Linked DNA regions of Struthio camelus. The protein of the gene in region 1 interacts with the protein of each later gene in a pairwise test. Links are inferred from orthologs where the notes say so. Each region holds a gene or a part of one and is shown in the gene's direction. Other genes may lie near its edges.

Region 1 (14,606 bases):
CGGTGCTGTCCGACACCAGGACTCAGGACTAATCTTTTGACTTCCTCCAGACGGGTCTTGCATGCAGTAGATTCCTTCTGCCTCCATGGAGCCTTATGTTCATGTCTGGTCATGAGCACCCACCCAGGAAAAGAGCAGGAAAGTTGCCAATGCTTTGGGAAAAAAAAAAAAATCTTGCTAAGCCTCCCTGCTTGGAGATATTTACTCTGGGCAATGCGTTGTCATGGAAATTAATCCCTGTCCCACCTGGCAGGTATGGTAAACATTACAAGCAAGGAATGGGGAGAGGCCAGAACAGCTGAGCACAAGGAACAAAGCAGCCTGGGTCTACTAGTGCCTCCTGCACCCAAACGCTGTGGAACAGGCCTGAGCAGGATGTGGCAGGGTTGTGGCTGGGTGCGGGCTCTCTTCCAGCCCTTGCTAACTGCTCAGCTGGACCTTCATCCCCCACGGCAATCTCAGCTGTAGGACGCTCCATTCCACCCGAGTTCAACCTGGAGGAGGCTGGTTCAGCCCCTGGGCTCCTGTAGAGCCACTTCAAAGTTTCTCCAGCTTGCACCAGGTTATAACAAGCTCCAATGAGTGATTCGCCCCCAGCTGGGGAGTGCCAGAGCATGCAGAAAGCCTGAGAGGCTCAAGTTAACTGTCTAAGGCTCCCAGGTTAACCCCATGGAGCTGGACGGGCCCAACATCCTTACAAATGCTGATATTTTGGAGCGCCCTCATGTGTTTGGGCGCAGCAGTGACTGCAGCCATTTACCAGCACAGCCCCCAGAGCCAGGAACGTGCCAGACTCGCGCAAACTCTTCTGCAGAGTCTCACCTCTGCTTGGCGGGACAGGAGCATGCAACCAAGTGCATGGATCAACCATGTCTTTCTCCTGACCCTCTCACTCCAAACGCACTGCTCACTGCTTGAGTGGGCAGCAACGTCTATCCTCCCACGCAGGCCACTGGAAACACAATAATGAGGTTGTGGAGTATCTTTGGGGGTACTCAAAACCCAGCTGGACATGGTCATGGAGAACTGGTTCTAGCTAAGCCGGCTTGAGCAGGGCGGTTGGACTAGATGGTCTCCAGAAGTCCTGTCCAACCTCAACCGTTCTGTGATTATCTCTACACGTTATGGCATATTACGCTACGCCAGCTCCAAAGAGCTCCACTAATGGTACGACAGAGGCAGGAAGAGCTACTCTGAGGTAGGTCCCTCTGCAGAAGTGTGAATCTTACTCTTCCTGATCCATATACTCTCTTTTGCATGGCAGAGGGGCAAAGTTCGAGCAATCTCAATTGTCATCTTTTGCCTGTCCTGTACCACGATGCCGGTCAGATATGATACAACTAGGTAGGGCAGCAAAACGCAGTTTGAGGCTGATCTGACAGTCCCAAAAAAGGCTGAAACATCCCCGGAGTCAGTGAATGCACAATTTTACAGCCGAAGAGACTTTGCCTCTCGCACCATCGCAGCGGCCAGGGAGCCGGGCTGTGGGTGACGCTTGGATTTCGTGTTTCCACCCCGAGTCTCGGAGGGACGCCGGCGAGGGTGCAGATGCAGAAAGCCTTGCTGCTCAGCGCTCCGGCCCGCGCGCCACCACCTCTTCAGGTGGAGGGAAAAACCCGCTGGCGCAGAGCGGGCTTTGCTGCAGGAAAGGCAGAAGGGCAGCGGGAGCGGGGCTGCAAGAGGCGGAAACGCCGGCGGCCTCCGAGCGCGGCGGGGAGAAAGCGCTCGGGCAGGAGCTGCTGCTGCAGGGAAGGGAAGGGAAGGGCTGCAACATCGCTCCGGGGGGTCACGGTCAACTATGAAGGATAATCACAGAACCACAGAACGGTTGAGGTTGGAAGGGACCTCTGGAGATCATCTAGTCCAACCTCCCTGCTCAAGCAGGGTCCTCTAGAGCACATTGCCCAGGATCGCGTCCAGGCGGGTTTTGAATATCTCCAGCCAAGGAGACTCCACTATCTCTCTGGGCAACCTGTTCCAACGCTCTGTCACCCTTACACTAAAGAAGTTACGTCTTTTATCCTTCTTTCAGGAGGAAGAAACATCCCTCAACCATACTTTAGCTGCTCTCTAACCTAGCATTAAGAACTTCTGCTGATGGAGATTCCATAGCTTCTTTAGGATTATATTTCAAGACTTAAATATTCTTACAGTTTTTCTTTCTTTCTTCTGTCCTCCCCTTTCTCTTTCTCTCTTGTTCTTGTTCTCTCATTCTTTCTCCATCTATCTAGTTTTCCCTCCTTCCTTTCCCTTTCTGTCTCTTTTCCTTCACTTTTTCCTTCCTCTTTTCTTCCTTTCTCTCTCATTCTTGTTCTTTCCTTCATTCTCAGTCCTTGTTCTCTCGCATTCTTTTCCTTCCTTCCTGTTTTTACTTTTCTCCCTTTCTCACTTTTTCCTCTCCTCTCTCCTTTTTTTCCTTTCTACTCTCCCTCTTTGTCTTTTCTCTCCCTTTTCTCTTTTTCCTTTTTCTCTCTCTTTTTCCTTTTCCTCGCTCTGTCTTTCTTTTTCCTTTTTCTCTCTCCCTCTTTTTTCCATTTCCTCACTCCCTTTTTCCTTTTCCTTTTTCTCTCTCCCTTTTTCCTTTTTGTCTCTCCCCTTTTCTCTCTCTCTCCTTCTCTCTTTTTTCCTTTTCCTTTTTTTCCTCTCCATTTTTCTCTTTGCTTCATTCTTTCCTTCTTTCTCTATTGATCTCCTGCAGCTGTCAAGCCTTTTATTTCCCGTACGCTGGAGCCCAATGTGAAACGCGCCCTTCCCGGGGGGCGGCAGGCGTTCCCCGCACGCTCTCCACTGGCCTTGCGGCGGGCCGAGCCACGCGGTGCGGCTGCGGCCGCCCCCTCCCGCTGCAGGCTGAGGCCTGGCATAACTCATCGCACTCTGCGTCAGACTCGGAAACCCTGCCCCGCCGCCCCCAAAACGCTCCCCAGGGCCTGCCTTCTGTCGAGAAGGATCACAGTTCGGTTTTCCAGGTTTTTAGCCAAACCCGCTGTGCCGGCAAACCTATTTGGGCGGACGCGCGCTGGCACTTTTCGCGGTGGTCCTCGTGTTCCTGTTCCCAAGCGCAAAGCGGGCATTGCTCAGGGCGCGGCGAGGAACGGATGCAGGCGTGGGGTGGCTGCTTTTCCTCCATCCCAGAAATACTCCTTAAGGGCAGGGACCACGCGGCTCTCCCTGCTCTCCGCATCCACCTACCCAGACGCGCGGTGCCGCGGGAGCGCTCCGAGGAACATCGGACCGCTCGGAAGCGGCTGGCTCTCGGGCAGACCAATGACTATCGACCAAACTATATGGGTCCTTCAGCTGCCTCTCCCTTTGAAACGATGCTGCAATCAAAAAAGTGCCAAAAACTCTCTATTTTTCCCCTCCGCTTGGGCTACGCTGTGCCCATTGCAACTGCTGCCACCCTGCGGCGATGTCCCTGCACCCAGCACGGCTGGAAAACGTCAGGTGCAGCGGCGTTTCTCAGCGGGATGCACCCGACAGCGGCGGACACCAAGCTGGACCGCGAAAGGATTAATTATTGTAGTTGCAGTGTCCGGCCGGGACTGCGGGAACTTTCTAACCGCATGCAATTTAAGGAAGAAAAAAACAAGCTTAAATTGGGATATTCAGATTCAGCAGTCAAAACGAATTGGGGCTGAGCGCCGTACGTTACCAGCGTATATCGATGCCCCGCGTCTCACTCATCGTTTTGAGGCGGTTTCCCCGGCGAGAGCGAGTTGTACTAATTAGCCGCACTAAATAACCTAATAGCCGGAGGAAAAAGGAGAATGCAAGTTACGTTTAGTTAAAAAAAAAAAAAAAAGTGTTAAAGACGGTTAAAGCTGTTAGGAGGCCAGAGGTCATTTCCGGTGAGTGGGAGTAAAGCAGCTCAACGATAATAAGGTGCAGCAACGCCGCCGCGCTCGGGGAAACGCAATTAGGAGCCTCGCCCGGCGCTCTGCGAACCGCCCTGGGAATTTCTGCTAAAAAGGATTATTTCCAAGCCGTCCTTCCAGCGGCTCTAATGAAGCTCGGCTGAGCAAGGCCAGGCGACCTCGCAGCCCAGCGGCAGCTTCCCTGTGCAACACGCCTGCGGCCTGCCCGTGCAACGCGCCCGCAGCCCAGCGCCCCCCTGCCCGACCGCTGCGATGCACCAGCCGCCTCCCAGCGCACCGCGCGCGCCCAGCACCGCCCGCCGCCGCCGCCCTCCTTATGGCGCCCCCTAGCGGGCGGCGCGGGAGCAGGCGGGGAGGGCGGCGGGGGGGGCGTGGCCAGCCGGCTCCTCCGTTCTCTCCTCGCCCGGAACTCTATGGTTCGTCCTTCTAGGCAGCTCGGAGGATCACAGCATGGCCGCGGTCCTCCTCAGCGGGGCGCTGCCGAGCCGCTGTTCGCCTCCCGGCTTCTCTCTCTTTTTTTTTTTCTTTTTTTCTCTCTTTTTTTTCCCCTCCCCTCTCGTTCCCCCCCCCCCCCTCCACTCCTCCTCCCCTTTCTCCGCCAGCCCAGCCGAGCCGCCCGCCTCCTGGCTGCCCGGCGGGGGACGCGGTGCCCGTGAGGAAGCGGCCTCCGCCGCCGCGCCGGCAGGCACACGGGCTCCTCTCCGCCTCCTCTTCCTCCTCCTCCTCCTCCTGCTGCTGCTGCAGCCGGGGCCGCATCCTGCTGCCGCGGGGGCAGAATTGATGTGGAGACCCAGCGCAGCACCATGCAGCCGCCGCCGAGGAAGGTGAGGCCTCCCCGGGCGGGGGGGGGGGGCCTAGGGGTGGGGTAGGGTATGGGGAGGGGGAGGTGGGGCTGGGGTAGGGTATGGGGAGGGGGAGGTGGGGTAGGGTGTGGGGGGGTAATGGAGGGCTGGGGTAGGGTATGGGGAGGGGGAGGTGGGGTAGGGTGTGGGGGGGTAATGGAGGGCTGGGGTAGGGTATGGGGAGGGGGAGGTGGGGTAGGGTGTGGGGGGGTAATGGAGGGCTGGGGTAGGGTATGGGGAGGGGGAGGTGGGGTAGGGTGTGGGGGGGTAATGGAGGGCTGGGGTAGGGTATGGGGAGGGGGAGGTAGTGGACTGGGGTAGGGTGTGGGGAAGGGGAGGTGGGGGGGCCTGGGGGTGGGGTATAGGGGGGCTGGGGTAGGGTGTGGGGGGTAATGGAGGGCTGGGGTAGGGTGTGGGGAGGGGGAGGTGGGGCTGGGGTAGGGTGTGGGGGGGTAATGGGGGACTGGGGTAGGGTATGGGGAGGGGGAGGTGGGGGGGCCTGGGGGTGGGGTATAGGGGGGCTGGGGCAGGGTGTGGGGGGGTAATGGAGGGCTGGGGTAGGGTATGGGGAGGGGGAGGTGGGGGGGCCTGGGGGTGGGGTATAGGGGGGCTGGGGCAGGGTGTGTGGGGGGGAATGGGGGACTGGGGTAGGGTATGGGGAGGGGGAGGTGGGGCTGGGGTAGGGTGTGGGGGGGTAATGGGGGACTGGGGCAGGGTGTGGGGAAGGGGAGGTGGGGGGGAGCTGGGGCAGGGTTTGGGGGGATAATAGAGGGCTGGGGCAGGGTGTGGGAGGTGGGGGGGGCTGGGGTAGGGTGTGGGGAGGGGGAGGTAATGGGCTAGGTTAGGCTGTGGGGGGGGTAATGGGGGCTGGGGCACGGTATGGGGCAGGGGGACCTGGGGGTGCAGTGTGGGGGGGCTGGGGCAGGGTGTGGGGAGGGGGAGGTAATGGGCTGGGGTAGGGTGGGGGGGTGGTGGAGGGGCTGGGGCAGGGTATGGGGGGGTAATGGGGGGCTGGGGTAGGGTGTGGGGAGGGGGGACCTGAGTGGGGCCTGGGGGTGGGGTATAGGGAGCTGGGGCAGTGCATGGGGAGGGAGGACCCGGGGGGGCCTGGGGTGGGCTATGGGGGGGCTGGGGCAGGGTGTGGGGAAGGGGAGGTATTGGGGGGGCTGGGGCAGGGTATGGGGGGGTAATGGGGGGCTGGGGCAGGGCATGGGGAGGGGGGACCCAGGGGGAGCCTGGGGGTGGGGTATGGGGGGGGGTTGGGGCAGGGCATGGGAGATAATGGGGGGGGGGGGGAGGCTGTATTTGGGAGAAGCCTGGGCAGGGTGTGGGGAGGGGGGATGCTGGAGGGGGCTGTATTTGGGGAAGCCTGGGCAGGGTGTTGGGAGTCGGGGCGGGGGGGGGGGAAGAAGAGGGAGACAGTGGCTCCATGGAGATGGGTCTGCGTTTGGATGAGGTGGAGGGTTGGGATGTGGGGCTGTGTTTGGAGAGGGTAGGATTCGGGCAACTCCTGGCCAAGGGGCAGCGAGGTCTGGGGGCAGGATGGGGCGTAAGGAGGGGGGTTGTGGGGGGCAGCAGTGGCTGGATGGGGCAGGCAGAGGTGTGGATGTGCTGGGTAAACCGGGGTGGTGGAGCCTGGAGGCAGGAGAGAAGATGAGGAGCAAGCGTTAGAGGGAACAAGTGATTAATTGGGGCTGGGGCAGCCTTAGGGACAATGGGAAAAGGGGCTTTGGGGGGGGGGGATTTCGAAGTGGGTGGGCACGGTGTTGGCAGGAGAGGGGCTGTGCAGGTGGGGGAGGCAGTGGCTGGATGGAGAAGCCTGGAGATGGAATAGGGCATGGGCTGGAGGGGAAGGTGAAGGTGGAGGAGATGGAGGGCAGGGGGCTGGTTAGGTGGAGTACGGTGGGGGTGGCAGTGGCCGCACTAAAGGAGAGCCGTGGGGTGGTAGGGTTAGAAGGGGGGTCAATGATCGCAAAGGGCTAGGCTGTACTTAGGGTTTTAGGACAGCCTGTGTTGGTTGTGGGGTGGTACTGGCTGCGTTTAGAGGACTTTGTTGTGTCTGGGTGGGTTAAAAGCAACTGCTGCTGGTTGTGCTGGAGTGGAAGGTCGCGTCTGGAGTTGCTGTAAGGATGCAGGTTGTCCCTGGGTGGATCAGGAGCGTGAGCAAAGAGGGACAGCCACGGCTGTGTAACACAGGTGTGACGGGAACAATCTGCACATGCTGGTTGCAAACGCTGCGTGAGGTGGGGAGGCTTTTTGGTGTCCTTGCGGCCCACAGGAATACGGGGTGCTTCGCCTTACGGCCGCTGGTGCGGGAGGATGTGAGGTAGATTTGGAAAAAGGTTGTTGCCGGTGCGGCTTGTCTGTGCAGGCAGGTTGTTCATGGAAGACTTGAGCTATGGTGGGGTCTCGAGCGTGAGCACTGATGTACGGAGATGTATTGATTAGTTATTTTGAGAGCTGTATGCAAGGGCTGGAATATGGGGAGAACGGGGGAGCTCGAGGTGGTAAAGCGAGCCTCGGAAAAGGTTTAGAGGTTGCTCACTAATAAGGATCGCGGGGCGGGGGGGGGAGTTTGCTGGTTTTGAGATCATTAGCGCGTTACGTTCGTCGGGGTGTTGTCCGCTGCTTGGAGGCGTGCGCCGAAATGCTTTGCGCTCAGACCGTCGTGGTTCAGTGTGGATGTTTAAGGCTTCGTGCGTGGTGTTGAGATTTATAGAGGAAGACTTGAGGAAGACCGCGCAAGGGAGCGTAAACAGAAATCCCCCTTGTCGTTCCCTGAGCTCCCCAGTAACCCCGGGCAGCCAGCTGCAGCCAAGAGCCCTCCGTGTCTCATTGCTGCCTCTCACCCCCTTGTTTTGCGGGTGGACTCTGCTTTTGTTAAAGGGTTCTTCTTGCTATTTTAGTTTGCGTTTGGCAGCTTATTTATGTTACGTGGGTGTCATTCTTTACCCACATTATTTCATTTGCGGTCATTTCCATTGCATGGGTTATCTTGCGTGGGTTTATTTATTTAAAATAGATTTTTTTTTTTTCATGTGCAGATGAAAGTAAAAACGTTGAAAGTTAATGTTAAAAATAGATTTTTTTTTTTCCTGCTTAATCAGAGTCAGGCCTGGACGTGTGACTTTCAGTATCTCGTAGGCACTAATGTGAAAAATGTCTTTAGTGCTGTGATTAAAGGGTCCTGGTTGTTGGTGGTGGTGGTGTCTTTTTTTTTTTTCTTTTTTTGACTCAGCCTTAAATTTGAGAAGGCTTTTCCTAGCCAATGTGACCTGGAAGATTTTTTTTGCCTGGCTGGTAAGAGGAGGGAGATTTGTGTCTACCTCTTCTCTGCGTTTTTCTTTTTTCTTCCCCCGTTACAGCAACTGTTAGGCATTTCGGTCCTCATGAACGCATAACATCTTTTGATATGCTGGTGATCCTTTTTTTTTTTTTTTTTTTTTTTTTTTTTAGGCTGATACTTGGACTCCTTGTGCTCACTAGAGGGCTTAAATGCCCAGACTGCTTGTTTTTAAAAAAAGAAAAAAAATAAAAGGAGGGGAGAGGATACAGGTTCCCTTGCCTAAGTCAAATCCTGGTCTTTTGCCCTTTTACAAATTAGCGGGTGGGTTCTCAAATTATTGAAATCCTCGGGATTGTGAGGGCCAAAGGAAAATTACGTAATACTCAAAAGCTAAAGCCAGCCTTATGAGGTACCTTATGTAGAAGGGCTCTGATGCACGATTAAGAAATAGCTTTGTTTAAACTGTCTTTAATTATAGTAGTTGTAGGATGACTTAATCAAGACACATTCCACAATTGTGTAAGCTATGCTGAAGTGCTAAGTGTACACACCATCAGTTTTCTCCCTGTTACCCGTTTTCCTTTTTCAAGCTTGTTCCCTCCCCCAATTATTTTCATAGCTCTTTGGAAAAACAAAATAAAACAAAACATTTTTGTTAATGTTAGGGCATAAGTTTGAGATTTGTGACGTATGAAATGAAGGCCTGCTGGGCTTACAGCATTTGTTGAAATCATAGGGTTAAGTTGCATTATTAATTCTGTGTTCTAATTTTCCACTGAAATATGCAAATTCAAAATTGATGAGAGAAATAAATTTTGTTTTCTTTTTGAAATTTGACCTAACCCCTACAGAAAATATATATGGTCTGTGTTTTTTTTTTTTTTTGTAGGTGAAAGTTACACAAGAGCTAAAAAACATTCAGGTTGAGCAGATGACAAAACTTCAGGCCAAGCATCAGGCAGAATGTGAGCTACTTGAAGATATCAGGTAAGGTTACAGAAAATGCAACCAAAAATTCCTTTAAGATCTAGCTTTGGAAGAACTTTTGAGTTACAAAACGTCAGGAACTGACGATGGAATTTCCTCTTTGGATTTCCTGCTTTTAGGCTGTTAAAGTTTTGACACAGCTGGAAATTATAACTGGAGCTAACACAATGCAAACCATTTTTTCTTCTCTTCAATGGGGGAAATGTTTAAAAAAAAAAAGTCGCAAACAACATGCAAAAAGTATTAGTCTTTTCAGCAGTATTTCTCTATATAATAATTTATTTGATTTACCAGTTTAAAGAGGCTGCTAAAATTATTGAAAATATTTTAAAACCACTGATGAACTATGTCTTGTTAGAGATGGCTTTGAATAGCACTTTTAAATGCATTTCATTTTTTCCCAGAAACTTAAAAGAAGGTTCTTACGTTTATAACCTAAACTCTTTTCAGGCTAAGATCAATGGGGAGAATCTAGATAACGTAAACTGTGTTTTTTTATTATTCATTTTAACTAATGCCATTGCTTCCCTTTAACATAAAAGTTTACTTTTAACAAAATACTCACGGAGATAGGGAGTACCTGGAATTATATGGAGGCTTAATCATTCCATTTGGAGAGGGTCGGTTTCTAGAATGGCTATTCTGTAAAGCGTTCATCAGTGAATCCACTGCTGTCCTTCCTTTTGTCACCATTTATTCCACCTGTTAATTAGTTAAATGAGATTTCTTGCTTTGTGTTTGTATATAAAATGCAAATATGGCCGCTTTGACAAATGACATGCTGTGTGTCTCGCTCTCGGTGTCCTAAATCAGTGTGTCGAGACTTCAGTGTTTTCTCACCCTGTTTTCTTCTGTGGGCATTGAAACACTTTTCTGTATGGGAATGATCACAGCATTTATTTCCTTAGATTAAAATTAGTGGCTGTGCAGTGTTTGACTAGTAAATGCTGAGTGATAAGTAACAGATTGATCTGAGGAGTTTTTTCCCCTAGGTAGATGTTCCAAAATCAGGTTTCTAGGCCAGGTACTGCTGCTCTAGTCCAGGTTTTAATAGCATTTCCTCTTTTTCAGGGGCTCATAATGACTTAAGTCTGGATTTCTGCTGAAAGATGTCATAAGCATTATTAGCCTGTGGTTAAAAAAACAAGAAAATGTGAAAATGCTGGCTTAAAATACTTTTCTGTAATGTAATTTAATCTCTAACATTAATTTAATTTCTAAATGTTAATGCTATGGATTAAGAAACTGGGTTAATGTACTTAATTCACTAACATGGTCACTAAATGTACGTGGTCTCTGATCAGCATTCTTGTTACAAGCCTTCTGTGTTTGCAGAATCACTATGTGGATTTACAGATTAAATATTCTTCAAACATGGAATGACGTGATAGAATATGACAGCTCCATCGTGGCAATGATTTGTTCAAACACCGGATTACAGAGTAGGAGACAACAAGAGAATTTTTGCTTAAGAATGCTTGCTGAAAAAAATTTTCTTGGCTTGTAAAGCAGAGGTCTTTGTGTTTAGCTGTCAAGGAGGACCTTGGCTTTGAGGGCTGTATAGTCTTGATACTGCATCAGTCGCTTTATGACACTCGTGTGAGAAGTTTGGCGTCCACCCCGTCCCAGTCCTCGTGTGTTTGTCGCTACATTGAGGCTATGCAGCACCCCGTGATTGCAGAGCGCTCCAGAAAGCAGCATTCGTTGGAACCATGCACGGGATCTCTTTTGTCTCTTGCATGAATAATTATTTTTAAAGAAAGCATTCTGCCACTATCCAGAAGTATTAAATTTTAACTGAATGCTCTTTGTTTACCAAGACGTCAGAGAGTTCTGTTCCTTTTGTAGTACTGTTTGAACTTTCCAGTAGTGCAAGAGTACAGCTTGGTACTGTTTTATGCTGCTCTAAATTCTAGATATGTAACTACTGCAGCACTAACAAGAAACTCTGAATGCATGGCTTACAAGTTAGTGAATAAGAATTCATATTTTAAAAGGTTAAATTACTACAAATAGTTACTGCATTTGTTAGCATATAAATGCAGGTATTTAAGCCATGTATGCAATATTTAAAAAAAACAAACAAGTCTAGCATCTAATGTCCTTAATTGCATTCTTTATATCCTTTCAGCCCAGTTTTGAATAAAGTTTTAAATATCCGTAATGAAGAAGTTATACAAGGAAAAGATCGGAAAGTTTTCTCATGAATTCTGTTAAAATGCATTCATTGTATAGTGTATTAGCAGATGATTTTGGCAACGTACCAGAACATAAACATACTTTCCATTTCAACAGCTTTGATGTTTTAATGCAAAACTGAACACTCTCTTAAATGTTCGTAGTTGAAAACTTCAAACTATGTCATTTGGAGACGATGCAGACTGAACTACTGTTTATTCGAGAAGGGTCTCTTCTTGGTTGGGGTTGAGGCATACAGGTGAAACTGCCTATTCTTCACCCCATCTGTAGCTACTTAATCTCCTTGAGGGCTGTACACAAACCCACCATGTTTAATTAAATTTGAAATATGTCGTCTGTGTACTCTAGGCTTTGTTGGTGTGAGCCAGAAATTCTTCAAAGTTCCTCTACGGCTAGAAGTTTTGGGATGCTTGTTCACTCTAGCCGTTCCTGGCTTCTTTCGGGCAGCAAATTCAGTTTTTCCAATGGCCAAGTGCGTTATGAATGGTTGAATTTATCAGAGGTGTTGGCAGGTTTTCATGTATTTTATTTTGGTTTTAAACGTTACCGTATTTGATTGGTGGCCGTAAATAAGTCACACATTGTAGTCTGGATTTATCCTTCAGTTGCCAGGGTGTAGATGTATTTTCCTTTTGTGCGTGTGCATGCGCCTGCAAAATTGGGAAGAACTCTGTGAGATCCACACTTGAATTTGATTTAACGTTTCCGTAATGTGTTTATGCGCTGTAGACTTTATAAACTTGTTATGCGGTTGTTGCTTTACCTTGTGTGTTATCTCAAAGCATGGCTCTCAAAAGAATTGTGTATATATTACAGGTTTTGGATAGTGTTTTCTAAAATGTCTGTTCTTATTTCCTTGCTTTTATGTTTTGCCAGAGAGAGCGAGGTTATGGTTACGTGGCTGTTTTAATCTGTTCTGAAAGTCTGAACTGCTGCTGAAGGGCCGGTCCCGCTCGCTAACTATTTCTACTGCCTGCCTATACGAATGGGCGCAAGGACCCATGTGGCTGGGTGAGCCGTTTGGATTAGGAACACCTGAAAACAAACCATCCCCTGACTCCTCCCCGCCAAAAAAGATAATTTTTAGATAAATCAGTTCCCTGATCCAGCTTGCTGCGTGATTGCACAGATGCTGCTGCTAGCGTGAGGGGCAGAAGGAACGAGTAGCTGGGGTGGAGGTGGAAAGCACGACCGCGGGGTTGCCGCCCAGACTGGGCGCGGGGTTGGAGTCGCTGGGTAACCCCAGCCTAGTGCTCCTGCAGAAGGCACAGCTGCAGCCTTGTGAACTGCATGGTTAGAAAGGCCACCTTATTTAAGTCTTAACTAATTTTCTGCTGTCTGGGTGTGTTGATCCTGTGACGCTGTTTGGCGTCAGTTGAGTGTGCAGCGTGTTGAAAGGAGATGTAAAACTTGCATGATTTCTGGCTGAGATGGAATAGCAACGTGGTCCTTTCATTTGCTGGGTCCTGAATTTAGTTTTTCATTACTTTCAGCTGAACTCAGCGTGTAAAAGGAATTGTCAAAACCATAGGCTCGTAATTTCCATGTGTTTCACAGATGTGCATGCAAATATATGTAGAGTGAAACGAACAGGAGGAGCTATTTCGTCTGTCCTTTTCGTTTCTCCCTCCTTACTTTCTCTTCTTATTTAAAACATCTTCCTCTCCTCATTGTTCAGTCTAGCTTATCTCACTGTAATGTATCCTTTAAATTCATTCACCTTTTTCTCATAAAACCACGTTCTCATTGCACTCTGTATCTTCTTTGTCGTTCACCTTTCTCCTTCTGCTGTCTTGCCTTTGTATGGTACGTTTTGTGTTTCCGTTCTCTCCTCCAAAGGTCTGTTCTCTGAAGATTGTTCTGTACTTAAAATTTTTCTTTTTTTTTTTTTTTTTTGAAACTCTTGTTTTCCCCTCCCTGATCCTTCACATCTCTTCCTTATTCCTTTATCCAGTTCTGAGCTCCTGAATTGTAATCAGTTTTTGGGTATCACCTCTGTTTCCAGGAAGCTTTGATGCTTAACATTTAGTGTATAGCTTAGGTGTGCTAAGTTTGTTAAGCCTTTGTATTTATTTACTGAGTGGGGAGTTCTTCTTATGAGTCTTCCTTATCCATCTGAGCCTTTTTCTGATATAGGATACTGTAGCTGTTGCCCTGTTGTTGGGCTGTCACTCGCTTTTGCTCCATGGAGACGTAGCAGAGAAGATATGAACGAGGAAAGAGGATTACTGGATTTTGGTTATGCGTCCGGTACAGGGACAGAGTACTTTTTGGATGTCTCTAGCTTGGTGTCTTGTTCCTGTAGCAGCAGGTTTATGTATGACTGAACAGTGCAGATCCTAAGGAAAAAGAAAAAAGTATGCTGAATATGTATCTGTAGCTATCTAGTTGCTGCTAGTTTTAACATGCCATTTTATGTATTGAATTATGCTGTAGTTAATAAGGTTGCGTGTAACCTTTTGCTGTGAATATCCTTTGTACTCTCCAGTGGAATTTGCCTGTGCTTCTGTAATCTCACTGATGTTGGTAGGTCTGTGATAAGGTTTATGGCAACGTTGGCTGGGCGTCAAACTACTAAAGTAGAAACTAGCTGCAGCTCCAGTTTTAAATACAGCAAATTTAATATAGCAGCTACGACGCAGATCATTTAACAACCTGTTAAGGAAAAGTCTTGTTATAGTATGGATAGTGCTGCAGAAGCATAAGTGACTGCAGGGGAAAAAGCTGTAAAAGAATATATTTTGTATAGCTATATATACATACATATGTGTATATATATATATAATCCCATAAGAGATTCTGCAAAGTTATGAGAGCATGTTACTTTTCCTGACCTGGGGCAAAATAGTAGTGCAAAGTTTTCCTCTCTTCCTGTTCTTTCCGGTCTCCAGCTGCAGGGAATGCGATTCCTGCTTGGATATTCTTGAACCCTGTATTAGGCTCTACTTATGTTAGCCTCTGGCTAGTGGGTATCTCTTAAGGTCTTTTTTAATTCCTCTTCAGAACTTCCTCTTTGCAGTAGCTGGGAACTTTCCATAAGGAGATCATCTTTTTTTTTTTTTTTTTCCTTTATACTGATCCTTAGGAATTTGTCCTTCACTGTCACCTTTTCCTTTTCTCTTCAAGGTTGTTCACTGCAGTCGACGGACTCGATGTTTGTAGCTTTACTGACGTAGGAGCAGAGCGTTCCTGTGTGCCTACAGGTTCTGAGCTTTGCAACCTTGCAAAGCGAAAACCAGCGAACGTATTAGACAAACTCACAGAAACTGTACGAAGTGAGTTGTATTAGTTTGGGTCTATTATATTAACTATTATATCTAGAGGCTTAATTTTTCTTTAGGAGCAAAACCTGCAGTTTTCCTGGGCACTGATGGTATTTCTTCCCTCATGGGATGGTCTTTCTCACCGCTCGTGAAT
Region 2 (15,464 bases), on another chromosome or scaffold:
ACTGTTTTGTATGCTGGGATTGTGGGACCCCAGTTCTGCTCAAAAAGAGCAGAAGCAATCCTTTCCAGGCACTGTACAGCAAAGGGAACCAATTCAAACACTTGCCAAGTTTCTTTGTCTGCTCTCTACTCTGATATATTTAGCTTCTAACTCCTGCTTCATTTGGATCCAACTTCTGGCAGATACTGTGGGCCAAAATCGGCGACTGGGGTGGTCTGTCATCTATGTTCCCTTATCCCTGCTTGGTTCATGATAGTGCATTCCTTGGGCTTATGTCCTGCTGTATTTGAAGACCATAATCTGCTGTTATGGCAGACTTTGGAAACTCTCAGCCTTATGACTTTGTTCTTAGATAAAATTTGAGGTTTACTGGGCTGCTGCCATTTGAATTGCCACCCTATATGGATATAGTGGTCTTGCCAGGATTGGTGAGCTTAGGATTTAAGTCTTGCTTTATTTTTAGGGGTGGATCTGACATTGCTATGTAGCTTGCCAAGGAGACTACCCCAGCACTCTGGGGATGAGGTCATGCAGCATGCTAGAAGACTAAGAGAGGCTGGTGTGTAAGATGGCATTCCTTCTAGCTCTTACGTATGGAGTGGTAGGTAGCCCATTGCTTGACTAGCACAACTGCAGACCATACTGTTCTCCCTTAATGGAACCCTGGTACAAGTGTTGGCTCAGATTCCTTCCTCTAGAAGAGGCTAAACCTGGCCTTACAGCTCTAGGTGAAGTGATGGCTGTGTGCTGAGTTCTGTCATCAGCTCCTGTCTGTCCAGACTTAACGAACAAATTGAGTGTTTCCTTAACCCTCCAAGTGCTTTTTGGGAGTCTGACATGCTCAGCTCCTAGGTACAGTGTTTTCTTCAAGCCTTAGGCATGCTGTAGCAGTAAAATGCTAGTGAGGGGTCTGCTATCAGCTGAAAGTCTGCCAGAGCCCCGAAAACCTGGTGGTAGCTACCTGCCTCTTACCTAGTCCAATATGCTGGCAACTGAGCAATTAAGGAATTGGATGTTCTTTTCCTGTTTTTGCTGACTTGTTTGTCCAGTTCAGGGAAGCTCCTAGTCCAGAACAATTTCTGACCAGGGTGCCTTCAGTCCCTCTTGAAGGAAATACTCATGCTGCTGGGTGACTTCAGCTTTGAGCACTCCCCAGGCATCTGCTTCCAGATCGGCCTAGTTCCCTTCTGTAATGACCAGCAGAGATTCATGATGCTCCTGCTCTTGCAGGAGATGGGAGCTTCTGCACATGATCAGTGACCCTTTGAGTAACTGATGCTGCTTTGGAAGCCAGGCTACTGAGTATCATATTTGCTTGTTCCTCTCCTTCCTTTTGAGCCTGAACAGAGCACTGAACAGGGCAAATAAGGAGGCTTTTTGTGGGGCAGACAAGGGAGTTACTTTGCACTGCATTGAGCATTTATCTAAGCAGTTCCCGATGGAGTAAAAAATGCTCTGCCTCTTGGATGTTACTGTAATGGGTCTGCTAGCTCAAGGAGTGACCAAGTCCCTGATAAGAGCCCCATGTGGAACTGAACCATTGCTGGTTTAAAACTTGAGTTCATGCACTGCCACCCTGTGGCCCCAGTGCAAGGCTGCTGGGGCAAGACCCACTTCTGCTTTCTGCTCTTCTGGTAGAAGAGGCAGAATTAATGAGGACATAACTTTTTATAGGAACCAGACTTATTAAAATGCCCATGGTGCTGGATGCCTAGTACTTCTCATAGTCTGGTTGTCTATGCCATAGTAAACATTCAGGGCTTGCTTTAGGAATGGCATTGTGAGGAGTCTGCCCTGCCTAGGAGTGTCGCTGGGAGTGGTATTTGGCCTGTCTGTCATTCCATCTTGCTGCTTTCTGTTTGAGTGGTACGTGATGGGCCAAGCCTGAAAAGCCATTTCACGACTGGGAGTAGTGGGTTTCCTGAGCTAAAGGTCCGAGCCCCTCATCTTGTTTTTTGCTGCCTAGTTAGTGATGAGCTGCACTGCTTTGTTCCTGTCCTGAGGTAGCCTTAAGCCTAACTTGCCTCTTTCTCCCTTCCTCCCCTTTCTTGCTATTGACCTGCTTGCCTGTTAACCCTGTGTGCACCACACTTGCTGCTATACATCTACCTCTTCACTTTCTGCGTGTGACTGGACCCCGCCTATAGCATCAGGTAGGAGACCTTGCTGTGCCTCTCAACATAATCCGTAGCGCTCTTAGGAGGCTTAGAGCCTGAACACTGCTAGATATGTGTTAGGTTAGCGTCAGCGTAGAACTGTTGCCCCAAACCGCATGCTGGCAAGAAGCAGCCCTTGGGGACTGGCTGCCTCATGTTAGATAAGGGTGGCAAATTGGCCTGGCAGCTGCCTTCCTCCCTAACATATGGATTGATGTGATGGTCTGTCAGCCATGACTTGGAAGTCATCAGTGGAGCCCACACCCTCCCACACCTAAAGCATGGCCTGATAGAGTAGCTAACAAAAATGAAAAAAATCTTTCTTGCTGTCTTGAGGACCAATTTGTAGTTAGGCACAGAATTCACTGCACTGAGCACTGCTTTGGTGACCAAATCACGGGACGTGTGACAACACCCACCTCTTAAGTGGCAGAAGCAGTTGTGTACAGTAAATGGCAAGTGCTTCCTCTTAATTTAGAGCAAGCTTTCTTAGTCTTTGTGTTTATCTAGAGGTCTAAGATGTCATCTCCTTCCCTTCAGACTAAGGAAGAGCAGTCCCAGATCACCAGCCAGGTGACTGGACAGATTGGATGGAGACGTGAAGGGATCAAATATCGTCGCAATGAACTCTTTCTTGATGTGCTGGAGAGCGTGAATCTCCTGATGTCCCCCCAGGGTAAGTGGGAAGTGCTAAGCTGGCATCCTTTTGCCCTTCAGGGCTCTTGAGTGGGGACTTGCATGTGTATTCTGAACTGCATTCTTCTCTACACCAGGTCAGGTTTTGAGTGCCCATGTCTCTGGCAGAGTGGTGATGAAGAGTTATCTGAGTGGAATGCCAGAGTGCAAGTTTGGCATGAATGACAAGATTGTCATTGAAAAACAGGGCAAAGGGACTGCGGATGAAACGGGGAAAAGGTAAGACGTGTTGGGGTAAAAGTCACTTGCTACCAGGGACCTTTATGAAAGGGAGCACTTAGTAGCTGCTCTGATCTGACAGATGAAGCTTGTCTTTCCTTCTCTTCAGGTATTGCCGCTAGTTTTTCGTCTGGGTAGGTCAGTTATCCTGCAAGGTAACAACCTCAGGGCCTTGATATAAAGGGCTTCCCCATAGCAGGGCTAATGACACTTCACCTGTGCACATCTTAGGTGTCAGACTTCACACCTATGCATGGGAAAGTATCAGGAGCAGTGGGATCCTCTGGGCTGTCATCTTTCTTGAAGTATTAAGATTCAAATATAGTGCCGAGTGTGGAGTTCTTGCAGCTGGAAACCTTCCTCCAAAGATGATTCTCCCAGAGCTTGTGTCTCTAGCAGCTCTAGTTGGTGCAGAGGCTCTTGCAGGATACAGGAACAGTGCCCCCAAGGAACAGTGAAGGAACCCCTCTGGCCATAACATGTTCCAGACTGTTCCAGCTGACAGGGCTAATGTTTGGGTAAGCCCCTTCTGCTGATGTAGGATCGTTAGCAGCAATGTGGGCTGGAGGCTCACCCTTTTGGGAGTCAGCTACCTTCATTCCCAGCTGTGCCTCAATCAGCACCTATCCTATGCTGAAGAGGGACTTTATGCTTTTTTCCAGTGTTACTGCTTAAGGGGAAGAGATCAAAGCAAAGGGACTGCCATTTTTTCTCCCACTAACCATTTATGACTCAACTGTTTCTTTTGTGTGCTTTTTTTGCTGACCCCCCAGTGAATTGGGAAGGTAGATAATCTGCTTCAGCTACATGTGCACTCTGCTTCCTTCCTTGTCTACTGCTTTGACTTGTGCATGTAACCCAGATCTCAGACACTTTCCATGATGATTCCTGTAAACTGAGCTGAGCTGCTGTTTGCCTTTTCTCTTAGAACCAAGCCAAGAGCTGTCACTTCACTGTCACCTTTAATCTCTCCAGTACCTGGATCTAGTCAGTAAAATGGACTGAGCCTCAGGTGCTGGCCTGTAGTGAAATACCCTAGTGAAAACGTCATCTGTGTAGGCTTCTGAACAGTCAATAACAATGTTTGTCCTAAAACTTTTATGCTGTATGAGCATCTTCACCTGTAAATACACCATTTTCTTGAGTTAGAGAAGCAGGATGGAGCTAAAGCTCTTGCTGGGTGGCTCTCCCAAACTGTGGTTCTCCAGTAGGCAAGAGCTCAGAGATGTCACTGTCCAGAAGCATTTAGTAATAAAGTGGCCAAAAGGGACAGCTGTTGCTAGTTGTTTTTTGGCGTCTAGCATGTGGCAGTACCAAACCTCTGAGTAATGCTGCTTGAGACTTGAACCGGTGCTAGGCAGCAGAGCTTTCCCAGCAGCGTTCCAAAGAAACCAAAGAACAAGTCTGCTAATGTTGGCTGTCATCTGGGCAATAGATTGGAAAAGACTAACCTTCACTTATGGAGCATAAGCTACACCAGTGGGCTGTGTAAAGTAAGCAACCATTCAGCCTGGACTCGGTCTGCTTCCCACATATGCAGGTAATGGTGGGGTCTCAGTATGACTAAACAGGCCTGTGTTGCTTATACTATCTCTATGCGCTTACATAGCTGTCCTGTTGCTCACAGCAGTTGAGGCAGCCTAGATATCATAATCCTACATTGCCGCACCTTCTCTATGCTGGTGCCTCTGTCTCATTTTCTAGCTCCTCTCAGTACCCGAGAGGCATTCTTGGCTAACTCTGGGACCTGTAGCAAGGAAAACATTGTCAAACTGGAACCCGATACAGGTTGAGTACTGGCAGGTTAGTCCAGTGCACCTAGCTGCACAGACATTAGCTGTCTAGGTTTTAGAAATAAAAAACATGAAAACGTTTGTGGCAGGCGTTTTTGTCCTCAGTAAATTGGTTGCTATGCTGGCCTGAGGAAGAAGGTTTCTGTCCTGGGTCAAACCATGAGCTAGCAGCATGGAAATTCTCAGCTGTGAGGAGGTTTCTGAGCAGGTAGACCCCAAATGTGGCATCTCCTAGCTGTGTGGCAGTGGGATAGCTTTGTGGACAGGGAATGCTTTTCCCCCCCTTGGACTGCACTGCAAGAAGACTTGGGCTAGCAGAGTTGCCCTTGCAGTGCTGAGAAGCTGCTGACAGGCAGACCTAAGCGTTGCATTCCTGGCTGTGACTGAAGGGTGCTGCTCTAACCTCTCCTCTTGGGGAGAGGAGGGAAAGAGCTCTTTTAAACAAGCTTGAAGTCTGATCTTGGCGAGTGTGAAACAAAGGAAGCCTAAGCCAGCAGAGCCTGTCCCTTAAATCTCTCCCTGCCTCCCCGTTTCCTGGACACCTGCGATGGCAACATGCTCTGTAGAATAGTTTCTGCCTGAGCAGACTCTGCCTGCACCAACATACTGGGGCTGCAACTTGCGCTTGTTTAACTCTGTCTTGTGTTTTAGTGGCAAACAGTCAATTGCCATTGACGACTGCACTTTCCACCAGTGTGTGAGACTCAGCAAGTTTGACTCTGAGAGGAGCATCAGTTTCATTCCACCAGATGGAGAGTTTGAACTCATGAGGTATGGTGATAGGGAATGAACAATCTGATGTTGGCATCTGCTTGCTGCTACAGTTGTGCTGCTGGTCTCCAGGCAGACTTGCTGCCCTTGAGGAAGCAGCAAACGTGCTGCCTTCCTTTCTTTTCATAGTGCAGTCTATAGGGTGTCTTACAAGTCCTTCTTTACAGATGCAATAGAAGCCCAGCTCCATGTTGTTGGTTTTTTTTTTTTTTTGTCACAATCTTGGCATTGGATATGGGTTTCCCTGCCCTTTAGCCTACTGTATCTGGTAGTGCCTAAAACTGGTGTCTTTGAACAGGGTCACTTTGCAGGAACAAGATACAGAACTTGGGACTCGAAGTCATCAGTGGCCTAGGGCAGCACGGATCTAACTGCTGCTTACTTTTGGGATGGCTCCCTTTCTGGCTGATGCTTTTAAGCTGTTCCCTGTGTGTGGAGGCTGTCCCTTTAGGAAGGTAGTACAATTTGAGGCCCTAAGAGTTAGCTCCTTCTTGGAGTTCATTGTTGCCTCTCTCCTTGCAGATACCGAACCACTAAGGACATCATCCTTCCCTTCCGCGTGATCCCTCTGGTGCGGGAGGTGGGTCGGACCAAGCTGGAAGTGAAGGTGGTGATCAAGTCAAATTTCAAGCCTTCCTTGCTTGCCCAGAAGATAGAGGTAAGAGAATAAAACTTGAGGTTTCTTGTGCCTGGGAACTGTGTCTCTAGTTATGTCTCACAGATAGTCCTCAAGTTTGTACAGGACTAAGAGTGAACTGAAAGTCCTACAGATGTGTATTGCTGCTGTGCTGGAGGGGAGGCCCTGTGTAGTAGGGAGGTGGAAGCTGTTCTTAGTTGCATTGGCAACTAAGAACATCGTTCCTTGGCAGAAGACTCATTCCCTGCAGTACCTGCTTGGAAGAGTGCAAAGCAGCTGTTCACTTAACATCTTTGCCACTATGAAAAGCTCATGTTCTTCTGTCTGCATGATCTAACAGAACATCAGACAGGTAGTGGGCTATGAGATGTTTAAGACAGCCAAGGGTAAGGGTAGATGTGCAGCCTAGCCCTCTTCTGGGGAAGGGCTGTTGCTGCAAAGTCAGACTGCCCAGAGCCCAATCTGAGCAGACCTCCCTGAGCAGCCTGGCATCCTGCCTGAGCTCATCTGTCTGACGCTAGTAGAATTTCCTGCTGCACATCTGTAGCCTGAGCTGAAGTGCTCTGCCCTGTTCCTCATAGACTGTTGTGGATTTTACGAACTTGTTTGAGCCTTTACTCCAACACAAGAAATCAGAGAGCCAGCCTATGATGCTTCAGGGTAGCTGATATACTCTGGGCCTTGAGATGGAGGGAGAAGGCCAAGGGATCCAGGACAGCAACTGCACTGTCCTGGGAAGTGTCAGTCTTCCTGTGAGCCTGCGTGGAGTGGTCGGGCTGTGGTCTCCTTGCCCCTGCTCACCAGACTCTTCCTTCCAGGTCCGGATCCCAACCCCCCTCAATACCAGTGGAGTGCAAGTCATCTGTATGAAAGGGAAGGCAAAGTACAAGGCCAGTGAGAATGCCATTGTCTGGAAGTAAGTGAGCATGGTTGGGCAGGAGCAGAGCTTGGGGAGGCAGAAGCTGTTCTGTGCCTCTGCAGTGAGCATGCCTAGCGAATAGACTCGGTTATTTCTTCACCTCTGGGCCTTCCCTGATAGGATTAAACGTATGGCTGGAATGAAGGAATCCCAGATCAGTGCAGAGATCGAGCTGCTGCCCACCAATGATAAGAAGAAGTGGGCTCGGCCCCCAATCTCCATGAACTTTGAGGTGAGTCAGTCCACCTTCCAGGGCACAGCTAACCTGGAGATGCTTTGTCATTTCCTTCTGCCCTCATGGGAACTGCTCAGGTCTGAGACCTCCCTGTCCCTGACTGCTCTGTGACTCTTCCTAGCATGAGGCCACCCCTACAGGTAGCAAAGCTAAAGGAAGAAAAATGCCCTGAAGGCCAATGGAGTCTGTCACCACGCATGCAGGGTATAAAGAAGGAAACAGTAACTCTGTGTCTGTTTCCAGATGCTTGGCTGGGGGTCCTCAGGCTGTTTTGTGTGCATACCATCTTTTCTCTGTGTTCCAATGCTCTCCGTTGCCTTTCCCTTTAATCAATAGGTCCCGTTCGCGCCCTCTGGGCTGAAGGTGCGTTACCTGAAAGTCTTTGAGCCAAAGCTGAACTACAGTGACCATGATGTGATAAAATGGGTCAGGTACATTGGCAGGAGTGGGATCTATGAGACCAGATGCTAGCCCGAGCAAGCTGGCAGGCTCCCTCTTCAAGCCATCCTCCACGTCTCCTCCGTCTTCAAGTACATTCAGAGAACATCTGCCTGGCCCCTCTACAGATGGAAAGACCCTGTGGCTCACCTTGGGAATGGACTCGCCTGCCTGTGCTCAGTTACCACCCATGCTGCAGCTGAAGTTCAGAACCCAGTCATGTGCAGGGATGCTGTCAGCCTCCTGCTTTCTGTCCCAGGGTGGGGAAGGGCTAGTCTAACTCCCATCCTCTCATGATCTTTCTAGGGAACGTCCACCATTAAACTCCTCTTCTGTTGGTGTCTCACTACTTGCATCATATCCTAGTATTTTTGACGTTCTTGTGCATATGTACCCGTAGATTAGACCTAAACATAGACTGGACAAATCTGAGTTGAAGTTACCCTGGCTTCTGTACTAGCTATTGCTGTTGTGGTAGATGTTGCTGGCCAGTCTGAGATACCTGGGGTGGTGAGTTTGTCAGGCCTCCACCGGAGGAGATGGTGGGCTCACTGGACCTCACCACTTTATATTTCTTGCAAAGTCTTCAGTATAGAGTCCTGCCATGGGAAGGTTTGTGACCAAAAAGGATGAGGGTTTAGACTCTTGCTGGTGTGTATGTGGGTGGCACAGCATTTCAGGTCCTTAGAGCACTTACCCCCACCTGCTACTGGCTTGGGCCAGTCTGTCTTTTCCAACCAGATTGTAAACTTGGCCCCTCTGTCCCAGGGAGTGTGGGGCAACTGAGCTCTGTCAGGATGTGAACAGGGTCTGTCCTCTAGAGTCTAAAATGCCAATGGCAGTAAGAGCCCCCTGCCCCAGCCTGCCCTCTCCACACTTCTACCAAATGCTTCTGGGCCATAGGAATGCTGCTGCTACCCACAATCCTGCTTCTGGTAGTGTGGTCTCCATTTTGTACACTTTGTGATTTGTCCAGCTCTGAATCTAATAAAGTATGTAGAATGGAGAAGGCTGCCACTGCTGCTATTTGGGAGTTGTGATGCAAAACCCTGGGCTGTGCTCTGGGTCCCTGCCCGAGGTTGTCCTGGGGCTTGCATTTGCTGCTTCCCCAGCACTGGACTGCCTCTGGGTTAGTAGGTGCAAAGAGCAGGGATGCTCTTGCTTCCAGCCATGTTAGTGCTGAGTTCCAGCTGCTGCTCCCTGGTGCAATGAGGGTGCTGTGAGCTGCAGGACCCCTCGGTGCTGGTGAGCTGCAGGAGCCAACAGTGCTTGGCCCCTCTATGCTGGGGAGTGCTGGGCTCTGAACTAGAGCAGGGAAGAGGGCAGACCTGACTCGCTGAGGCCTGCAACCGTGTGGAACTGCACTGCCCTCTTTGTTATGCTTGTCCAGCTACTTGCAGGCTTGGCTTCTCTACCGAAGCCTGACCTAAGCAAACTGCTCTGGCTTTTCCTTTAGACAGCTGGAGGGGAAAAAAAAAAAAAAAAACAAAGGGGAGGGGAGGGTGCTGTACCTGGCAGTTGAGGTGACCTATCCCTGGGGCTTGGATGCCCGTTCACTCCAGCCTCCTGCAGGGCTGCTGTGGGCTGCCCCCTGCCTTAGCCCATCTTATCCTACACGTGATCAAACCCTGGCGGGAGAGCAGGGGATGTGAGGGTGCCGGAACCTGGCTTGGTGAGAGTTTTGAAAGATGCAAAGGTGCAGCCCTGGACTGGAGAAGGAGGTGTGGAGGTGCCTTTGGGGGTGCAAACCCTCAGCTGTCCTGGGCCACGCTTCTACTACTGTCTGCTCACAGGGCTGCTATGCACATAGGTGCAGCTGCTGTAGCGGGGTGGGGTGTGTGCTGGGGGTGGCTCTCCCTTGCTTGTGAGAAGCCGCTGCCCTCCCCTACCTCCAGCCTGGCTCCCGGCGCCCCCGTGGCCCAGCGCAGCCTGAGCGCGGGAGCTCGGCGCTGCACAGCGCGGGGGGCGCCCCCGCCCCGCCCGTGCACACCACCGCCCCCGCGCGGACTACATTTCCCAGCGGCCCCCGCGCGCATGGCGGCCGCCCGCCTGCTTCCCGGCACTCCCCGCGCGCGCTGCCGTCCCTTCCGCCTCGGCCGCTCTGCCGGGCTCCGTGTGGCGGCGGCGGCGGCGGGCCCGGGCGGCGGCGAGCCCGGCTCCGCGACCGCGTCCGCCATGGCGTCGTGCGCCGACATCCTCCGCAGCGAGTTCCCCGACCTGGACGGCGAGGTCTTCGCTTACGTGACGGGTGAGCGGCGCCCGCCGCCCCGGGGCTCGGCCCCTCGCCTCCGCGCGTCGCGACACGCGACCGCTATCGCGACACGCGGCGCCGGGCCGCGCCCGCGTCGCGACAGGACGGGAGAGCCGACGGGGGAGGGGGGGAGAGGGGAAGGGCTGCGGGCGCCGCCTGTCGGCGGAGTCGCGACAGCGCGGGCGGAGTCGCGACAGCGCGCGCGCGAGCGGGCGGGGTCTGCAGGCGCCGTGTCGCCCGCAGGGATCCTGCACGGCGGCAGCGCCGACTTCGAGTCGGTGGACGACCTGGTGGAGGCGGTGGGGGAGCTGCTGCGGGAGGTGTCGCAGGACGCCAAGGACGACGGCGCCATCCGCGAGATCTGCCAGCGCCTCTTCAACACCCTCCAGCTGTAAGGGTCGCCCCAGCCCCGCCGCCCCGGCCCCGGCCCCGGCCCCGCCGCCGGGCCCTCACCTCCCCCCCTCTCTCGCAGGGACGAGCAGAGGGCCCAGCGCTGCAGCCAGGTGCTGCTGGATGCCCCCATCCAGCTCTCCCAGATCGCCGACAGCTACGGTGAGAGGACCCCGCCGAGGGGCCGCGGCCCCCCCGGCTCGGTGGGGAGGTGTGGACGCACGGCGAGGACGGGCTTGGGGCGCGGAGCGCACCTTTACCTGGCTCCTCACCCTGGGGGGAGTCGTCTCCAGCCCCTGGCTGCTTGCGAGGGGGGTCTGATTTGGAAGGGCAAGAGGCGTCCTTTGGGTGCCCTTGTCATGCAGGAGAGGGAGAAGTCGCGTGTGCTTGTGGGCAGGTGCAGGAGCGCTGACTGGAGCCTCTCTGGGCCACCTTTTCACTGTACGACTTGTTGCAGATGCCAGCGTGGACCTGTTGCCAGGGCTGTTACTGAAGAGGGACCAGACCTCGGTAAGTGGAGGGCCAGGTTCTCCTTGTTCCCGCATGGTCTGCGAGGGTACAGACAAGTAACACTGGAGCTGCAACTGCCCGGCTCTGCTCCAGTCACCTCTCCCTCTGTGAGCAGCCAGGAAGGGAGCTGCTGTGGTTAGGCGCACAGCTGCATGGAGGTAACTGCCCTTTTGCTTCAGTTTCGCTGTATTTCGTGAAACTGTTTGCTCTGTCTGGTAAAGAGGATCAACAGGAGTTAGCAGCACACCAGTTTTTCAGGATCTATTTTGCTGTAACTTTTTAACAAGCTTTCAAGTGTGGTTGATGCAGTGGTAGTGCTCAGAGGAGAGCTTCTCTGACTCGATAAGAGCCTTTGGCCCATACTGCCGGCCTTTGATTGAGAAATTAGAATGTACCAGGACGACTTTGCATCATACTCGATTAGAGATAAAATCTTGGCTAAAGATTAGATGTCAGGATGTTACAGGTGGGGAGTTAGCATGGAGCAGCTGTTTCCCACAGAGCTGCTGCAGGGAGATTGTAAGTCCTGCTTTAGAAACGGCTGTGGTTGTCATGATTTGAGGAGCAGAAAAGTTTGGAAGTAGCTAATCCCTGTGACTTGTAAGAAATCAGAATGCGTTTGCTAATGAAACGCGTACCTGCTCAGGAGAGACCTGGGTTGCCTTCTGCATTGAGTGTGCATGTGTTTTTGAGAGGTGTGGTTGTGCATCTGCAAAGCGAAGATGGAAATAGCTTTACAGGCTGGGCACTTTCTCCACCAGGCTGGTCTCTTATGGAGTTCTCCCTTCTTGGGGTAATGGGTTGAGCACAAGAACTCCTAGCGTGGAGACTGAGACCTAATGTGATCCCTGCATGTCTAAATGGGAGCATTAGGTGAGAGCTGGATGCTGTTGCTTGTTTTGGCACTGGAGTAGCTGTTGCTGGGTTTGCTGTCTGGTTCTTGTGTCCACAACTCAAAAGAGATATTCAGAAAAATTGGAAAAGATTCAGAGAAGGCCTGGGGGGCCTCTCAAGTTTTGGAAGATAGGTCTTACTGAGAGATTTGAGGAGCTCAATTTAGTTTACAGAGTGACTCAATCTATCTGTAGGTGCTGGGCCACGATTCCAGTAACAAGGCGCTCTTCAGTCTAGCATGCAGGTCTGCAGCATGCTCCAGTGGCTGAAGTGTTGCCTAGAAATATCTAGGAGCGTTCTTGGTCAGCCACAAATATTTGACTTGACACAGGAGTAAGTTGGAGTGGGCTGAAAGCCTAGCTAAGTCCAGAGGCCAGGTTAAAACACTTGGCTCCTTCTTGCCTTCACATTTAATTAATTGCTTTTTATCTCTGTCTTGATTGATCTAGTGCCTAACTTGAGTTTGTTCCAAACTGGCTAGCGTTTAACATGCTGGGGAAAGAAAATGCTTAACGTCTAGGGTGAAGGTAGGTGTAGGGTATTCTGGAGCAAGCATTGGGAGGCCAGGTTGTTGTAGCAGAAGTAACTTGGCTGACCCAGGTTCCTGAAACCAGAAAAACTGACTGCGAGGAAGAGTGTACGGTTAGGGTCAGCCAAACCCTTTGCCTTGCTGAGGCAGAACTGTTGTGTATATAAGCAGTTGATTTGGGACTTCATTCCTGAGCCAACCACCTGGCCTGATCAGCTTCCCTAAATTGTACTTGAATCTGTCCTAGTTCCCTGTCCTACTTCCCTCCTGCCTTCCTTCTCTCTAGGCACAAGGGATTGATCTCTTTTCTCTTGGAGTCCTGCTCTTTGGACTTCTGCTGAAGATGCTTTCGATTCTTTCAACTCCATTCTTTGTGCCCTAGATGGTAAATGCCAAGAAACTGGAGAAGGCAGAAGCCAGGCTGAAAGCCAAGCAGGACAAGAGGATGGAGCGGGATTCCCTAAAGTCTTCTGGTCCTCTGTGAGTAGGGAGGGTGGCTGGAAACACTCCCAGCCTGCTCTGCTGAGTATGCCTGGATCCGACCAAGCCAGAGCTTTCCTGTTGAACTCCCTTCTCTGTCTTCTGCCTGCCTTGCAGGGTCCTTGAGGAGGCATCTGCCAGCCAAGCTGCCAGCAAGAAGGAGACCCGCATGGAGTCATCAGGCAAGAACAAGTCATATGATGTGCGCATCGAGAATTTCGATGTGTCCTTTGGCGAGCGGTGAGTGCAGATAGCCCTGGTTGGGGTTTCAGGCTGGGGTAATGAGGCTGGTTCGAAAAGCGGTCGGGAATGACAGAGGGTATGGAAAGGAGCAAGGTGAACACCTAATCCTGTTGGCTTTGGGCAGGAAAAGCCTGTGAAGGTTGCTTGGCCCCAGCACAGCCTGAAATCTGCTTGGGGCAGGCAGCTGCCAGTTGCCTCCGTTTCCACAGGACAATCTGAGCAGGAGCTACCTGCCTGTTTTCTCGCCTTAGTGTCCTACTCGCGGGGGCAGACCTGAACCTGGCATTCGGACGGCGCTATGGGCTGGTGGGCAGGAACGGTCTGGGCAAGACCACACTGCTGAAGATGATTGCCAGCCGGAGCCTGCGCATCCCCTCGCATATCAGCATCCTGCATGTGGAGCAGGAGGTGGCGGGGGACGAGACGCTGGCCCTGCACAGTGTGCTGGAGTGCGACACTACTCGTGAGAACCTGCTACGGGAGGAGAGGGAACTGACAGCCAGGGTTAATGCTGGCAGGTGAGATGTTGCATCTGGGTTTTCAGCCCTTCTACGATGTCTTGAGCGTGAGGTTTTGTTCTGAGATCTCTCCCTTCCAGTGGAAGGCTCCATCAGGGCTCGGATGCATTTCACCCACTTTAGTCCTGCTTGGGGAGATCAGCTTCCCCCAGCACTCAAACCTTGACCTCAGTCAGTCCCATGTGCTTCTCTTTGCTCGGCTCCAGGGGAGAAGGGACAGAAGGTGCCAGGCTATCAGAGATCTACGCGAAGTTGGAGGAGATTGAGGCAGACAAGGCACCAGCAAGGTGAGACAGTCCTGCGAGCACTGCCATCTATCTGTGTGCATCACCAGAGTGGGGCAGTGGTTTGGCGTAGGCAGCATGGAAGGGTGATGCTGTGCCCCTGGGATCCAGCATGTGAGGATGAAGGGCTCTCTCTAATGCTGTTCTTGTCTCTTCTTCCATTACTGCCATGCTGGACTGGGAGTAGTCAAGCTTCCTCCAGAGGCAGGAGGGATTTTTTGCTGCCAATGGCTTACATTATTGCTGCTGCTTCTCGCAGACCTCCCCAGGCTCCTGGTGTCTGGGGAGGATTTATGGAATGTTGATGTTAGCGATTCTCTTTCTGGCCAAAGAGCCAAAAGCTTTGAAGTTGGTACCTTATTGTGAGTCTCCTGCGACTCCATGTGGATGCTGGGCCCTGCTGGGTTGCGTTTCCCAGGCAAGTGCTGCTGTTGGGCCTGCAAGGGATTTTTCCCGCATGAGAGCAGCCTTAAACCATGTAGCAGAGACCCCCCACAGTGACCAAGGGTTTGGGAACTTGGACTGTGCTCTGCAGCTCCATGGTATAGGTGGGTTCCAGTTCTCTCCCTTTTCCCCAGGGCATCCGTCATTCTTGCAGGGCTGGGCTTCAACGCAAAGATGCAACAACAGACAACCAAGTAAGTCTCCAGGCTCTGGGTGTCAAAATATAATGGGTCTGGAGAGATCCTGTGTCCCAGCCCCGGTGGCCAGCAGGGTTATCTCTCTCCTGGCGAACCCCTAGGTGCTGCCCTGGCTGTGCCTTGATCTGACACAGGGAGAGTGGCTGTAACTGTGAGAGGGGAGCCCTGCAGGATGCTGTAGGTCTATTTGTGCCTTTCTGATGCAGCCTCCTGCCTAGGGGGTGCCAAGCCACCTGTCTGCTGGCCTGGGGAGGAGCTGTGTGTGACAGGACTCATGCTGTGTCCACGATCTCTACAGGGACAAGCTGTCTATGGGTGACAGCGGAGCTAAAAGGGCTGTGGAGGAGTGTGGGAGCAGGGAGCCTGGCAGGCAGGCAAGCTCAGAGTTGTTCTGCATCAAACGCTAACACTCCCTCTGTGCAACCTCTTCTCTCCTCAGAGAGTTTTCCGGAGGCTGGAGAATGAGACTGGCCTTAGCCAGAGCACTTTTTGCTAGGTAGGTGTCCGGAGGTTTGTGCCCGTGCTTTGCTATGGGGTTAGCCCTCCTTGCTGTCAGAGTGCTGCAAGGAGCTGGCTGGGGGGTCCTCTCGTCTGAGCCTCAGGGTGGGGAGCGTTTGAGGCATTGCAGCTCAGTGTGTGTGGTGAAACGTGCTCTGCGTTAACCCTGTGCTCTTTTTGCTTCTGATGCCTGCGTCTTGCTTTTCCTAGGCCAGATCTCCTTTTGCTGGATGGTAAGTCGATACTGTGAATCCCCTGTAACGCCACTGCTAGGTCTGCCTGTGCCCTTGCTGGGGTTGGGAACGGAGCGTGGCCTTTAACAGCCTGCTCAAAATAGCCCTGCGTGACACAGCCAGCACTAG

What was found.
Region 2: the proteins of FCHSD2 (region 1) and ABCF3 interact in binary tests that used the Homo sapiens proteins (3 or more experiments, as listed by UniProt). The two-hybrid records come from large-scale screens. The link is inferred for Struthio camelus from reciprocal best matches to the Homo sapiens genes FCHSD2 and ABCF3.

Annotation. Positions count from the first base shown.
Region 1 is NC_090942.1:222,621,234-222,635,839, reverse strand, and holds the start of FCHSD2 (F-BAR and double SH3 domains protein 2), read left to right. Parts: upstream 1-6,707; 5' UTR 6,708-6,846; coding exon 6,847-6,960; intron 6,961-8,892; coding exon 8,893-8,990; intron 8,991-12,065; exon of another isoform or gene 12,066-12,174; coding exon of another isoform or gene 12,175-12,200; intron 12,201-14,606. UniProt on the Homo sapiens protein: Adapter protein that plays a role in endocytosis via clathrin-coated pits. Contributes to the internalization of cell surface receptors, such as integrin ITGB1 and transferrin receptor.
Region 2 is NC_090950.1:22,574,461-22,589,924, forward strand, and holds the start of ABCF3 (ATP-binding cassette sub-family F member 3), read left to right. Parts: upstream 1-9,959; 5' UTR 9,960-10,039; coding exon 10,040-10,112; intron 10,113-10,358; coding exon 10,359-10,506; intron 10,507-10,587; coding exon 10,588-10,667; intron 10,668-10,962; coding exon 10,963-11,015; intron 11,016-12,820; coding exon 12,821-12,918; intron 12,919-13,035; coding exon 13,036-13,158; intron 13,159-13,412; coding exon 13,413-13,679; intron 13,680-13,885; coding exon 13,886-13,966; intron 13,967-14,541; coding exon 14,542-14,601; intron 14,602-15,043; coding exon 15,044-15,100; intron 15,101-15,312; coding exon 15,313-15,335; intron 15,336-15,464. Other genes in the region: AP2M1 (AP-2 complex subunit mu), read left to right, coding at 2,697-2,832, 2,930-3,071, 5,516-5,635, 6,158-6,293, 7,091-7,188, 7,312-7,423, 7,763-7,897.